Daphnia pulex: one gene and its partner. The protein of the gene in region 1 interacts with the protein of each later gene in a pairwise test. Links are inferred from orthologs where the notes say so. Each region holds a gene or a part of one and is shown on either strand. Other genes may lie near its edges.

Region 1 (6,486 bases):
TTCAGCTTCAGTTACAAAATTAGAAATCTCTACAAAATCTGCAAAGTCTTGATTACTGACTACATGAGTATCAATGAAGTAGTCATCAAGATAGACTGAACGAGAAGGAGACTCCCCATCAGCTACAAAGACTGGTTCATCTGTTCCAATTTCATATACTCCACCTCTCACCATAACCATTCCTTCATGAGTATTTGCAGCACAGGAACCTTCAGAAAGATTTTCTGGTTCTTTTACTGATGGCTGAGATTTCCCATGAAAGCAGTCACCATTGGCAAAGCTAAGATTGATGTCTGAAACCAATATGAAAATCCAGAAAATTTCCAAAAATGAACTTTGCATTCTCCAAATTTCATCCTATAGTGGTCAATAAAAGAAGAAACACAAATAAAATTGAAATTTCAAGACTAAAGATGGTTTCAAGCCAATCATAATTTTACTATTTTAAATCAGACAAAAAATTGACAGCTACCCAAAGCTCGTAACCTATATGTTCAGAAAAATGGATACTATTCTTACATATATCTATAGAGTAGCTATAATTTTGAATCTAATAATTACGAATACAATACAGAAGAAGATTGATTATAGCATACACAACGACGACTTTGTTGTCTATGATTATAGCGTTCGTGATAAAATTCGAACCTCATGTCACGCATGGATGTTAAATGGGTTAAAGCAACCGTAAGAAACCTCAATTTCACAGTTGCATAACCTTGAATGTGTACTCAAGTGTACGCTAGAGGGCATCAGAAAACCTTTTTTGTCAACAAATGAAGTAGTGACTTTCCTGTTTCTTCTACTCTGATGCTTCGAATTATTTTTATTGGATTACTGTGATAATAATGGATCGTTCTGGGGTTACTTCTGGTAAAAAATTTCATAATTTTTGCCCAAATTATACTGAACTCTTTATTTTTATTAGCCAACAGTTACCTCAGAGGGGTCTCTGTAAAGATTAGCGAAAAGTACCGACCTCCTCGTAGACCCACACTTCCGCCTGGATTATGCTTCGAACCTTCTCCTCATTTATTTTCTGATAATGTATGAATTGATCCAATTTAAAAAATGATCAAAGATCACCTTATGTGTTGTTCTTTAGATTGACCTCATTGATGAAGTAAGTGCATTGAAGCTGATAGCCTCAATGAGAGATCTACATACACAGGAGACTACAAGAAGAAAGCAAAGTGTATCTGCATTTTTAGAGAGTCAAGCTGCTGTCGATGAGAAGGAAATTGAAGAGATCACTTCAGACCTTTCCTTGAACAGTCTTACTAACAACATTCCCTCACTAAGTGTTCTCAACTTGCAAGCAAGGAATGGGCAATTGCTACAACATACTCAGGCTTCCATGGAAGTCCTTACTCCAATTCAAAGCTCGACTGTGGAAATCAAGAAGAAAGAAAACATGTCTGCTATCAATCTAGCTGAATTTGAGAGTTATTCAACAAATCCTTTTGAGGAAATGGAATTAAAGACCTTGAATGACAAAGAAGAATTAGCCATGTTGCTCCAACCCAGCCCTCAGCCATCTTATGGACTACAGTATCAGAACTATAACCCATCAACAATTCCATCTTGGACTGAAAATGTACATATTATTTTATATTATTTTTCTTATTTTAGTTTTTATTTTTCACTAAAGAAAATAAAATATAATTTTTATTTTAGAGACATCAACCTGTGCGTCAATATGAAGCTGCAGCAAATTGGATTCCCAATGAAAGTTCATTCTTTAGTGTTGACAAGCTATCTCATGGGAACATCGCTATACCTGTAGAATTCCAAAATCAAGCAATCTCACATAAAAACTTACGTCAAGCTAAAAGTGTCCCAGACCTCTCTGACGTAAGTTTTGGGACGGGAGAAACCCCTATAAATAAACCGCCATTTACAGGTGTGACGGACAAAAGACTCAGTTCTCGCACTCCCCCTCCTCGTTTAACATCAGATTCTATAAAAAGACCAGTGCCTAAACCAAACTTTGATGTTGCATCTCCGTATGAAAGGAAACTGAACGCAATCGAAAAACGTTTAGTCCAGCAGCTACAAGATATGGGATTTGTGAGAGAAAATGCAGTTCGTGCTATTGCTCGACTTGGTGCCAACGAAAAGGATGTTGTTGATCAGCTTTTACTAATACAGAAACTGGAAGAATCGGGCCATTCCATTGAGAGAATAGAAACGGCTTTAGACGTTCTTAAGCCCTGTAAGGAATTACCAACGCAATTAGAACATCATTTAGTGTTAGTTGATCAGTTGTCTGCTTTAGGATTTGAACACGGTAAGATTAGCTCTGCGCTTGTTGCTGCTGGACACGATCGCGATAAAGCCTTGGATATTCTTTTGTTAAAGTAAATTACATTAAAATCATACGATGTTTATTTAGTTTTTTTTTTTCGTGTTCTTATGTCCTCAAGTCAATCAATATTTTTTTGTTCTTCGATAAGTATAAAAATCCAAATGTCAACGATTCTGTACTTAGTCTTCACCTTTTTTCTGCTGGAATAAATTGACATATGACATTATTCAACCTAATCAAATTGTCAAAGTGTGGTTAATAAAACACCAACCAAACAAATACTTTTGCGCGAAACGACTCGGGGTTTGGTTAATGAATAAATATACACGTTGGCGACATCGATGTCATTGCATAAATTAAAAGTTATTGATTCCGTAGCTATAGACATCTGTGATCATTCTGTCGGTTCACTCAGTTGTATTTGTATTGAATCTTTTTTGAAATTCGCTTCCTCCCTGGTCCCTTAAACTGGTTCCTGGATCCTAAGCAGAAGTAATTAGAATATTTCTATTACTCATTAGTCATTACTCTGTTCAAAGTTTCCTAAGTAACTTAATGTTAAAGTTTTAATAATATTCTTAATGTTAAAGTTATAATAATCAGTTAAAATATTCTACAAACAGGCATCATCGCATTGACACAGGCAAATTTGAATTCCCGCCGTCTTTGCCATACTTATTTTTTTCTAAATTGAATATTTTTCTTTCCTTACTAAATAATTTCGTTACTTTAGTATTAAAAGTAACTTTGGTTAAAATCTGTGGTAAATTTTAAGATTTTTGCTTACATTATTTTTTAAATTTCCGAAATGAATTGTTGAACGGTCAACATCGGATTCCACAGACAGTGTCTTTTTAGCGCGCGACGTGACGAGTTTGGACGTTGCTGATTGTAGATTTTTCTTTTACACGTTTTCAATATAAACGCAGTAATTAGTTTGAAGTGCCTTTTGGTTAAACATTTCAGCTCAATAATTGTTTCCAGTACGCTTTTATGTACCAAAATTTTTATTAATTCTCTCCCTTTGTTGATTTCGTCGTTTGCCCCGTTGCTACAAAATATGGCTAAGTTAAATACCGGGTTTAAACGGTGGAGTCTTGATTGCCATGACGTATCGATAGAAGTCATGGAAGATCTAGGATTATCTGCAATGGACGATGATTCAAACTCCTGTAGCAATCCATCAGTAAAACAAGTAGTGATCTCCAATATTCCTGAACCTGCTGTAAAGCGAAAAGAATGTTCACCTTTTGCTGTCCCGTCAGCTGTAATGGATTTTTCTGAAGATGACCAATCTAGTGATAGCTTTTTATTGTCTAAACGAATGAGGATGGATGGTCCCCCAGGAATTGATGGATTCTCACGCCTCTCAGACGAAGTCATTCTCAGCATATTTAAATGGCTTCCAAAATCAACTATCGCCAAATGTGCTCAGGTGTCAAAGCGTTGGAAACGACTGTGTTATGATGAAGTTTTATGGAGGAGGTTGGACCTTAGTGGCACCTGCCTAAAACCTACGATTCTAGGTAGTGTTCTTTTAAGAGGAGCACACATCTTGAGGCTAGCTAAGACTGAGGTAATTAACTTTTGTTTGTTTCTTTGTTATCAACTACTAATATTTAATTTTTCTAAACAATGTACAGATTTGTGATCCAATATATCCAGTAAGTCCTCTACTTCAAGAATTTCCAAGGTATCGAAATTTGCAATTTTTGGATTTGAGCATGGCATCTATTTCAACACAAGGTAATCTCACCAAGTCATAATTTATAGGAATAAGGGTACAAATTTGGACATATTATGCAGGTTTATTTGATTTATTTGATACTTGTAAAAACCTGAAGAAACTTAGTATGGAACATTGTGTTGTTGATGAAAGAGCATGCAAGGCACTAAGTCAAAATGAGCAGCTTGAAGTGCTGAATATGTCCATGTGTTATGGTGTTGGAGTTAGTGAACTTAAATGGATTGTGAATGGATGTAAGAAACTTGACAGTTGGAATTTAGCTTGGACAGACTTGAATTCTGAAGCTCTTCAGTTGATTAGTACATCTGCACCAAAATCCTTAGAACGCATAAATATCAGTGGTTGTCGAACGACACTTAAAGACGAACGTAAGTTTGTAATGTTGACTGGAAATTTGTGATCATTAAAGTTGAATGCCGAATTTTATGTTAGATGTCCTGGCCTTGTGTCAACGTTGTCCAAAGCTGGTGGAATTAGACATAAGCGACTCCACAGCAGTGACATCAATTTGTGTCAGCTATATTCATGATAATTTAAAGCGACTGGAATATTTGGCGATGGCTCGATGTTACAACGTGCCTCTCTCCGTGTATTTGTAAGTAACATTGGCGTTAGAGAGCAAAATTTGAAAGATATTTTAATCATTTCTATTTCCTTTAGGGTGTTTCAAAAGAGTGGTCTTTTATACCTTGACATTTTTGGTTTATTGACGGAGACTATGCTTGGAACACTTCGCGCCAAACTTCCGAGTATAGAAATCAACAAGTTTTATTTCTCTAGTGTAGCAAGACCTACAGTCGGAATTCGACGTACCTCAATTTGGGGGATGAAAGTCAGAGAGTGAAAAATTCAAGTCATGTTTATTGCAAAAATTAGTAATACATATTGATGTATTCAAAACTGGTAAAACAATTTATTGGCATTCAGCGGACTTAAACTTTAATTTTTTCTAAAAATTCAAATACGCGTTCCTTGTATGACTCTTCCTTTAGTTTTCCTATGAGCACATGAAATGGCCTTGCGCCTCGTAAAAATTCCCCTAAGTTATGACTAGTGAAATTTATTCGATGGTCTGTGATACGATCTTGCGGGAAGTTGTAAGTCCGTATTTTTTCTGAGCGACCGCTAGATCCTACCTGCAGCTTACGACTTGACCGAGTAGTTGCCAACTGTTGGTCGATTTTCATTTGGAAAAGACGAGCTCTGATTTTATCCATTGCAACCTTACGATTCTGCATTTGCGATCTTTGTGTCTGACATTCCGCCTAATTAAAAATGTAAAACATTTAATTGTTGATGAGAAATACTTCAGTTAGTTCGGTAAACTTACCACTACACCTGAGGGTAAATGGACAATTCGCACTGCTGATTCAGTTGTATTTACATGTTGTCCACCTGCGCCGCTTGCTCTTTTTGTTTCGATTTTAAGATCCTTAAAAAAAAGAAGAAAAAAAATGTTAGTCATGCATTCAAGGAAACAGAATTAAGTATTAGTAAACTTACTTTCTGTTCAATGGTCACGGAAACTTCCGAAGGGCGGGGAAGGATGGCAACGGCTACCGTACTGGTATGAACACGTCCGGCCTTTTCAGTTTTGGGCACCCGCTGGACCCGGTGTACTCCACTTTCAAACTGCAGTCGATCATATGCGTCTGAGAAAAAAGTAGGTAGTTGTATCTAATATATTAAACTAAATTTTTGAAAAGACATACCTGAATTATTAATGCAAATTGCAGCATGCCTAATACCTTCTAAATCACTTTTTTCAATATCTGTTAATTCATAGTCCCATCCTTCACTTTCACAGTATGTGATGTACATTTGTAATATTTCATTGCAAAACAACATGGACTCTTGCCCACCAACTCCGGCAGAGAATTCCATGATTATTCCCTCAGTTTGATGATTATCTTCCTGCAAAATGAGTTCTAACACCTAAATCAATGAATGGGTTCTTATCAATCATTTAAACTTGATTACTCTGAATTTATACTTCATTTTGGATCTGGACTAGGATTTCCTTTAACTGTGAAAATTCTTCACTGACCATTTTTGCAAGGTCACCATTTTTATCATCTAAGATACACTATTTAATATAGATTTTTAAATAAATATAACTAGATACACCTACCATCTGCACTCAAAGCTTTAAGCTCTTGTAGATCATTTTCAGTCTGTAATAGTTTTTCCCCTAATCCAGCAAGTGATTGGATGCGTTGTTTGTTTACTACACCTATTCCAGACTTTGATTCAATGTTTTGAAATCCTGATTCATCAAACTTTTTCTTGATATTTAATAAGAAAATTCGAAGTCTCGGGTCAAATATATTTTCGAATGATACTTGATTGAGATTTAAACTCCTATGTGAAATGGTTTGATTCAAACAGCGAATGGATATTACATTATTAGCATAGCTTTTGGCGAAACACG
Region 2 (6,292 bases), on another chromosome or scaffold:
TGTGCTGCACGTGTGCTGCCGGAGAACACCTTTCGGGCAAGACGCAAGAAGTTGTGCGTGTTGGGAAAAGAAATAGGTAGCTACTTATCGTCAAAATCCTAGGGATTATTCTTGGTTTCAGAGTATATAATATTTGGTGGGGCGTTGGCATATGGATTGCTCTAGGCTTATTAAGAATTGCGCATTTGGTAACTTGTGTATGACCTTAATAATAATTAGAGTTGAAGAACCAGTTTTTTTTAACACTATGTCACAATTTTATTTTTAAATTTCAGAATGATATAAGCGTTCCAGAAATATTTTATTATCATGTTAAATTTTATCTCGAATTATTTTTAGCGGTGAAGTGAATGTTACCCCAACTCTGTATGTAAATTTGTAAAATAAAAAGAGAGAGGGAGAAAAAAAAGATATTGGTTTTGAGTGGTTTTGAGAAACGAGGTTAAAAAAAGAGAGGTGATCTGAATCCAGATTGACAGATGATCGAATTTCGACTTTTTCTTTATTGGTTGGCGTGTATCGATTATTGAGTAAAATTTTAGCTATCGATAGTGCTAAGTGCATACATCAATTTCTTCCGGGCGTCGTTTTTCTAGGTTACTGTTTAGTCTAATCCTTCACTCTTTCTTCAATTTCTGTTTTCGTTTTCTCAATCTCCGGCGATTTCAGTCAAGGTTATTTTATTTAATTAATCGAATTCGAATCAAAAGTTGGGTTATTTTCAGGAGAAATTCGTAAGAACTAAAAGGTTCAATCACGTTCTGAACATACGGCAAAATTTTGATACACCGCCAGAATGTTCTATCATGTAAACTACTTCATAATATTTTGATCTGGTTTCGACGTTCAATTAAGTTTGAATTGTTGATTTTCGCAGATTGCTTTGGAACACGAAATTCTTTTGCATCCTCGATATTTCGGACCACAATTGATGGAAACTGTAAAACAAAAGCTTTTTACAGAAGTTGAAGGCACTTGCACTGGAAAGTAATTCTTCGTTTTGATGTAATATGATCATATGAAACTAGGCATTGTGAACTTTTGTTTTTGATAAACTAGGTATGGATTTGTCATAGCAGTGACCACTATCGACAACATTGGTGCTGGTATCATTCAGCCTGGGCAAGGGTTTGTTGTTTACCCTGTCAAGTACAAGGCAATTGTCTTTCGACCATTCAAAGGGCAGGTTTTGGATGCAGTTGTAACACAAGTCAATAAGGCAAGAAATCTTATTTTCATTTTTTGTTAACTTCTCTGAAGCAACTGATTTTTTATTTCTGTATGCAGGTTGGGCTTTTCACAGAAATTGGGCCTCTTTCATGTTTCATATCCAGACACGTATGTGTATTTTCAGAAAAATGTTAAATTTCTCTCCAAATAACTAACTATTCATTTCACTTTAGTCGATTCCGTCGGACATGCAGTTCGACCCCAATTCAACCCCACCTTGCTACAAAACCCAGGATGAAGATGTTGTTATTCAACAGGACGATGAAATCCGCATAAAAATTGTCGGTTTGAGAGTGGATGCCACCGATATTGTAAGTGATATTCGTAGACAGAAAGTCAGTTGTGTACTAAACATTTACACGTTCTTTTTAGTTTGCTATTGGAACACTTATGGACGACTACTTGGGTTTGGTCAGCTAAATTATTTGGATTCAATGTTTGTATTGTCACTGTGTTATTCGAACTTTCGAAGGTTAACGTATGGAGTTGAAATTAAACGAGAAAAGGAATGTAACATTAGTCAATTTTATAGTGCAAAGAAAATCTGGGTATTGCTGTTTGTTGCAATCATTCTTTCGGACGTCGAAATAGTAGGACATGCGGCTCTGAAAAGAAAACAAATATCAGTTAAAATCATTATTCTAAACAGAATAACTACGACAGTATAAAAACATTTGTGAATGTAATGATAATAAGGACGGAGCTACCTTTCGACACGAAGAAAATTTGAAAGCATACGGTTATGATGTGAAAAACGTTCCCTATCTAATCAAAAAAGCATAAGCTTTCCGCAAGGACGACGACGAAAATTTATCTGATCTCGAAAACTGCAGTTCAAAGAAAATGAATCGGCTCCTACCGCAAGAATATTTTTTTTAAATGCGCTCATAAATTACAAGACACCAGGTTGTCAGATCCGGAAGAAATTCCAGAATTTAAGAGATGTGATATGATGAAAATTTCTCAAGGCTACACAGAATAAAAAGCTTGCAGAATAAAACTTTTCAGCTACTAACTCTTTAAGAAATTCTCTCTCCTCACCTGACAGTTATTTTGATAATCTCTCTGATATATAACTATGAATGACCACTGCTAGGAAATCCCATCCTACATATATTAAAAACACAGGTAACACAGAAATGATTTTTTAAACTAAAGATATTCCCAAGAAAGAAAAGGCTTTGAAAGAAAAATAATCATTATTCTTATTGTGCTTTGACAGAGTTTGGCGAATCAAGAACTGGGTCTACAAGTTTTGATGACTATTGCAAAACAAGGTGAATCACTGATCTAGCTGAAATTTAAAACAAAGTTGAACAGCAGCAATCATATCACAACAATCAGGTGATGATTGGCATTTGACATGTGACTTAATGTTCACCTAGTCTATAAATGTAATGGTATTTGACTGATTTAAACCTGGATTGTGGACCATGTAATGTACCCAGCCGGGACTCTGTTGAACTCCCAAATTTCTCCATTCCGTTTCGGTCATCAAATGTGTTCGTGGAACCAACTTCGCCATTTCTGGCGGCAAAATTACATGTCTGTACGAAAATAATTGTGTTACTTTAAACATGAGTATCTACATCAATAATGCATTAACAAGTATAACTTGACTACCTGTATTCAAAATTTTCATCGGTGTATTTATCAGAATATTGTATCTCCGTATTAGGTGGCATGTTGTTGAATTGTTTGATTCGTGAATTGAACTGCATTAAGATTCTCGTGCCATCTTGTAACGTAAAGACATACTTGGCAACTTGGTAATGAAAAGAGGCAGCCCTGACAATATTTTATTATGTTTTAAAAATTATGTGCGATATGAATTTTTTAAAAAATAAAAAATTTAATGATATAAAATCTTTCCAAAATATGATATAACGCTATGTTTGCATACACTGACATCAAATTCACTAGATAAAAGGTGTAGTTTAATAGGTGTGGCAATGAAGCTTCTTGATTCAAAACTTTAACAAGTAAAAGAGTCTGCTTACTTAGATATCATCATCATCAGCTCATTTACAAATTTTACGAAGGTGGAATAAAGTCTGATTAGCCATACACTTTTTTTTATTGCATATTGAAAGGCAATTAACTTATGCTTTTGTCGGGTTAACCGAAAGGCTTCATCACAATTCTTCGCTTTTTTTTTATTTATTACTTTTTAACTTCTTGTCCAGACAAGAACAGTCTCTTACATCGACAAACGTTATTGTCTTGATTTAGAAGCTAGAAGTGCCTGATGCTGTAGAATAGAAACTGCATCAATCCAGCAAGAAATAATGAACAAAGGTACCTTTTTTAAAAATTTTTAAATGCATGCTTATCCATTTGCAATCACCAGTTCGTCTTGCTGATTTTGTCATCAAAAGATTTAAACACACTTTATTTGGGTCCCCCGCTTATTTTAACAAATATCATTCATGAGTAGCACACGAGAGTACACTTACATTTAATTATAGGCTTTAAAATTATCTCCCTAGCATTATCGTGTTGGTGCAAATCATTTTGCAATGTTATACGACTTATACCATACAAAATCTTTTTAATAGCCATATAATACTATTTACACATACTCAGTTATCCTTTCCTGACGTATTCTAAGTAATAACATATTTCATTGTTCAGCTTATTTTAAACAATGAAAATTATTTTATTGTTATTTAATCGTATTCATTTTTTGTTTTTTTTTGTTATTTTCTAGAAATTGTGTCAAAGATTCCTGGGGCTGTTCTTCGAAGAATAGGTTCCAATGATATAAATGCAAGTTACAAGTGCATCCAACTGGGCTGTAATGAGGTAAGTTTAGTGGAAAAAATGTATTTCTGTTTGTTATTTTACCCTCTAATTTGCTTAGGTTTCCATTGGGCGGTCTAAGGAAAATACTTTCACTATTGCTGATCTTCTAGTTTCTCGTAAACACGCCGTTTTCCGACTGATAAAAGATCAATGGACCATCGAAAACGTGGTAAGTCTTTATTTTATACAGCGTAATGGCTTGCAAAATCTAATTATTTTTTTTTGTAAGGGTATGAATGGTGTTGCTGTGAATCACGTTGCATTACCAAAGCATCAACAAATACCTATTCAAAACATGGATATTATCGAATTTGGTGCCGGTAATAAGTATGTGTATGCTTTCCGTGTTCAGTCTGATTCATCCGAAGTAGGCGAAGAGCCAGTTGCAAAGAAGATGCGAATTCCGCTCGCCAATCGAAATTATCCGTCATTGAAAGATTCCCCAGAAGCTTTTCACAATTGGGTCCGTTCTAAGAAAAACCTCGAAAAGACACTTGAAGAAGAAAGTGACAACTTGGATGTAAAACTGGAGCAACAGAAAACACTCAAAGATAAACTGGTGCTGGAGCAGGAGAAACTCAACCAACACTTTGAAACTGCTAAGGTACAACTTGAATTGAAGTTCGCTGAAGAAAAAAAAGAATTGGAAGAAAAAGTCGCACGCGGAGAACTGGAAAAAAATGAATTACAGCGACAAAAAGAGGATGTTGAACAACGGATGTCAGTTAGCTTGCAAGAATTTCGGGTAATCTCACTAATAGACTGGCCGTATATGCTAATGCCGCTATACTAAAATGTTATGTTATTATTGTAGGATGAATGCGAAAAGAAAAAACTTGAATTCGAAGAAAGTGTCGCACGTGCCAACTTGGAGAAGCAGAAACTCATTGAGCAGAAAGAATTAGTTGTACAGCAACTCATACGGGAAAAAAACGTCTTACAAGTAACTATTTAAATAATTATTTATAAATATTTGTTTATCTTTTTTTTTTTTCCCAGGAGCGCCTGGAAGAAGAGAGTCGCCTCAAAGAAGAAACTATGAATGAGCTGGCCCATATTAAGCGATCTCATCAATCGTTGGAACAAGAGTTGGAGGAAGCACGACGTAAAATTGAAGAAGAAGCGAAGCAATTTCAACGAAAAGGCAGTGAGGACGAATTGAGACTTCGTCAGATGCAAGAAGAACTGGCTGAACGTGAAGCACGATTGAATGCTCAAGAAAAACAAATTGCAGAAATTCAGGTATATTTATAGATATACTATACGTATAGTTAAGAGCTTTAGCATAGAAAGTTTTAGAGTCGTGCCGCCATCGGCCTTGAGATGTACGAAACAATTCAACTCCTTCACCAAGGACAAGAAATTCAAAATGCAGGAAACATTGTGGTTGTCATGGATGATGGTATATCAAATTTATACCGTACTTAAGCAAATTATTTGATTGTTTACCGATTGCACCAATTAGGAGGAGCAATTAATCAGCCAAGTTTAACCGAACAGGAACTGGAAAGAGTACGCGAGGAGTTGCGTGTCCAAAAAGAGCTGAATGAGCAACAACAACAGGCTTCTAGTAAAGCTTGTGGCGATATTGTTGGTCAAATGGAAAGCATTATGGAAAACGAGCTTCAATGTGGAATTTGTTCCGAGCTGATGGTGTTTGTAAGTATCTTGTTTTTATTGTTTTTATTTATGCAATTCATAATCTTTCTAAATTATTTATTTGATTTAGGCTACTTCCTTGAACTGCATGCATACCTTCTGTCAGCACTGCGTCAGAGAGTGGAAAAAGAATAAGGTAACTAGTTTTCGTTTAACTTGAAAAAAACTCTTGAAGCAAAGAAACTTGTAGTAAAACTTGATGGTGATAGTAAGTTAGGGGAGAATCCAGGATCAGCATGATAGACAATTGCTGATATTTGGCATGTATTCAATTTTTAAAAAGTTACACTGTTTTCCAGAGTACCGCTGTTACAGTAAATCGTCTAGTTACTTTTATGGCTCCCTACTTTCAAGTTTTGAAAGCGATACGGAACTTACTATTTCTTGTGCTACTATGATATTCACACAAGTCTTGCTTTATCTATGATTCTTAGGTGGAATGTCCAATCTGTCGAGCCCCTATAACCACAGAAGGAAGAAATCTATTGGTGGATAATATGATTGACGCTATGGTCAGTTCGCTTTCGGAAGAAACAAAGAACAGTAGAAAGAAATTAGTTATTCAACGCCAAGAACTAATGAAACAAGCATCCATCGA

Evidence for each region.
Region 2: the proteins of S-phase kinase-associated protein 2-like (region 1) and cyclin-dependent kinases regulatory subunit-like interact in a two-hybrid assay, tested with the Drosophila melanogaster proteins (2 studies listed by BioGRID). The link is inferred for Daphnia pulex from reciprocal best matches to the Drosophila melanogaster genes Skp2 and Cks85A.

The regions. Positions count from the first base shown.
Region 1 is NC_060018.1:4,259,042-4,265,527, forward strand, and holds S-phase kinase-associated protein 2-like, read left to right. Parts: upstream 1-3,139; 5' UTR 3,140-3,368; coding exon 3,369-3,884; intron 3,885-3,951; coding exon 3,952-4,054; intron 4,055-4,114; coding exon 4,115-4,423; intron 4,424-4,487; coding exon 4,488-4,650; intron 4,651-4,715; coding exon 4,716-4,899; 3' UTR 4,900-4,955; downstream 4,956-6,486. Other genes in the region: peptide chain release factor 1-like, mitochondrial, read right to left, coding at 4,988-5,320, 5,386-5,487, 5,559-5,707, 5,768-5,990, 6,049-6,131, 6,187-6,486.
Region 2 is NC_060022.1:674,723-681,014, forward strand, and holds cyclin-dependent kinases regulatory subunit-like, read right to left. Parts: upstream 3,009-6,292; 5' UTR 2,952-3,008; coding exon 2,854-2,951; intron 2,778-2,853; coding exon 2,650-2,777; intron 1,836-2,649; coding exon 1,798-1,835; 3' UTR 1,652-1,797; downstream 1-1,651. Other genes in the region: DNA-directed RNA polymerase II subunit RPB7, read left to right, coding at 797-808, 878-987, 1,060-1,219, 1,288-1,338, 1,404-1,541, 1,603-1,650; E3 ubiquitin-protein ligase RNF8-like, read left to right, coding at 3,519-3,528, 3,941-4,035, 4,094-4,204, 4,265-4,780, 4,850-4,978, 5,035-5,277, 5,335-5,437, 5,501-5,694 and 2 more.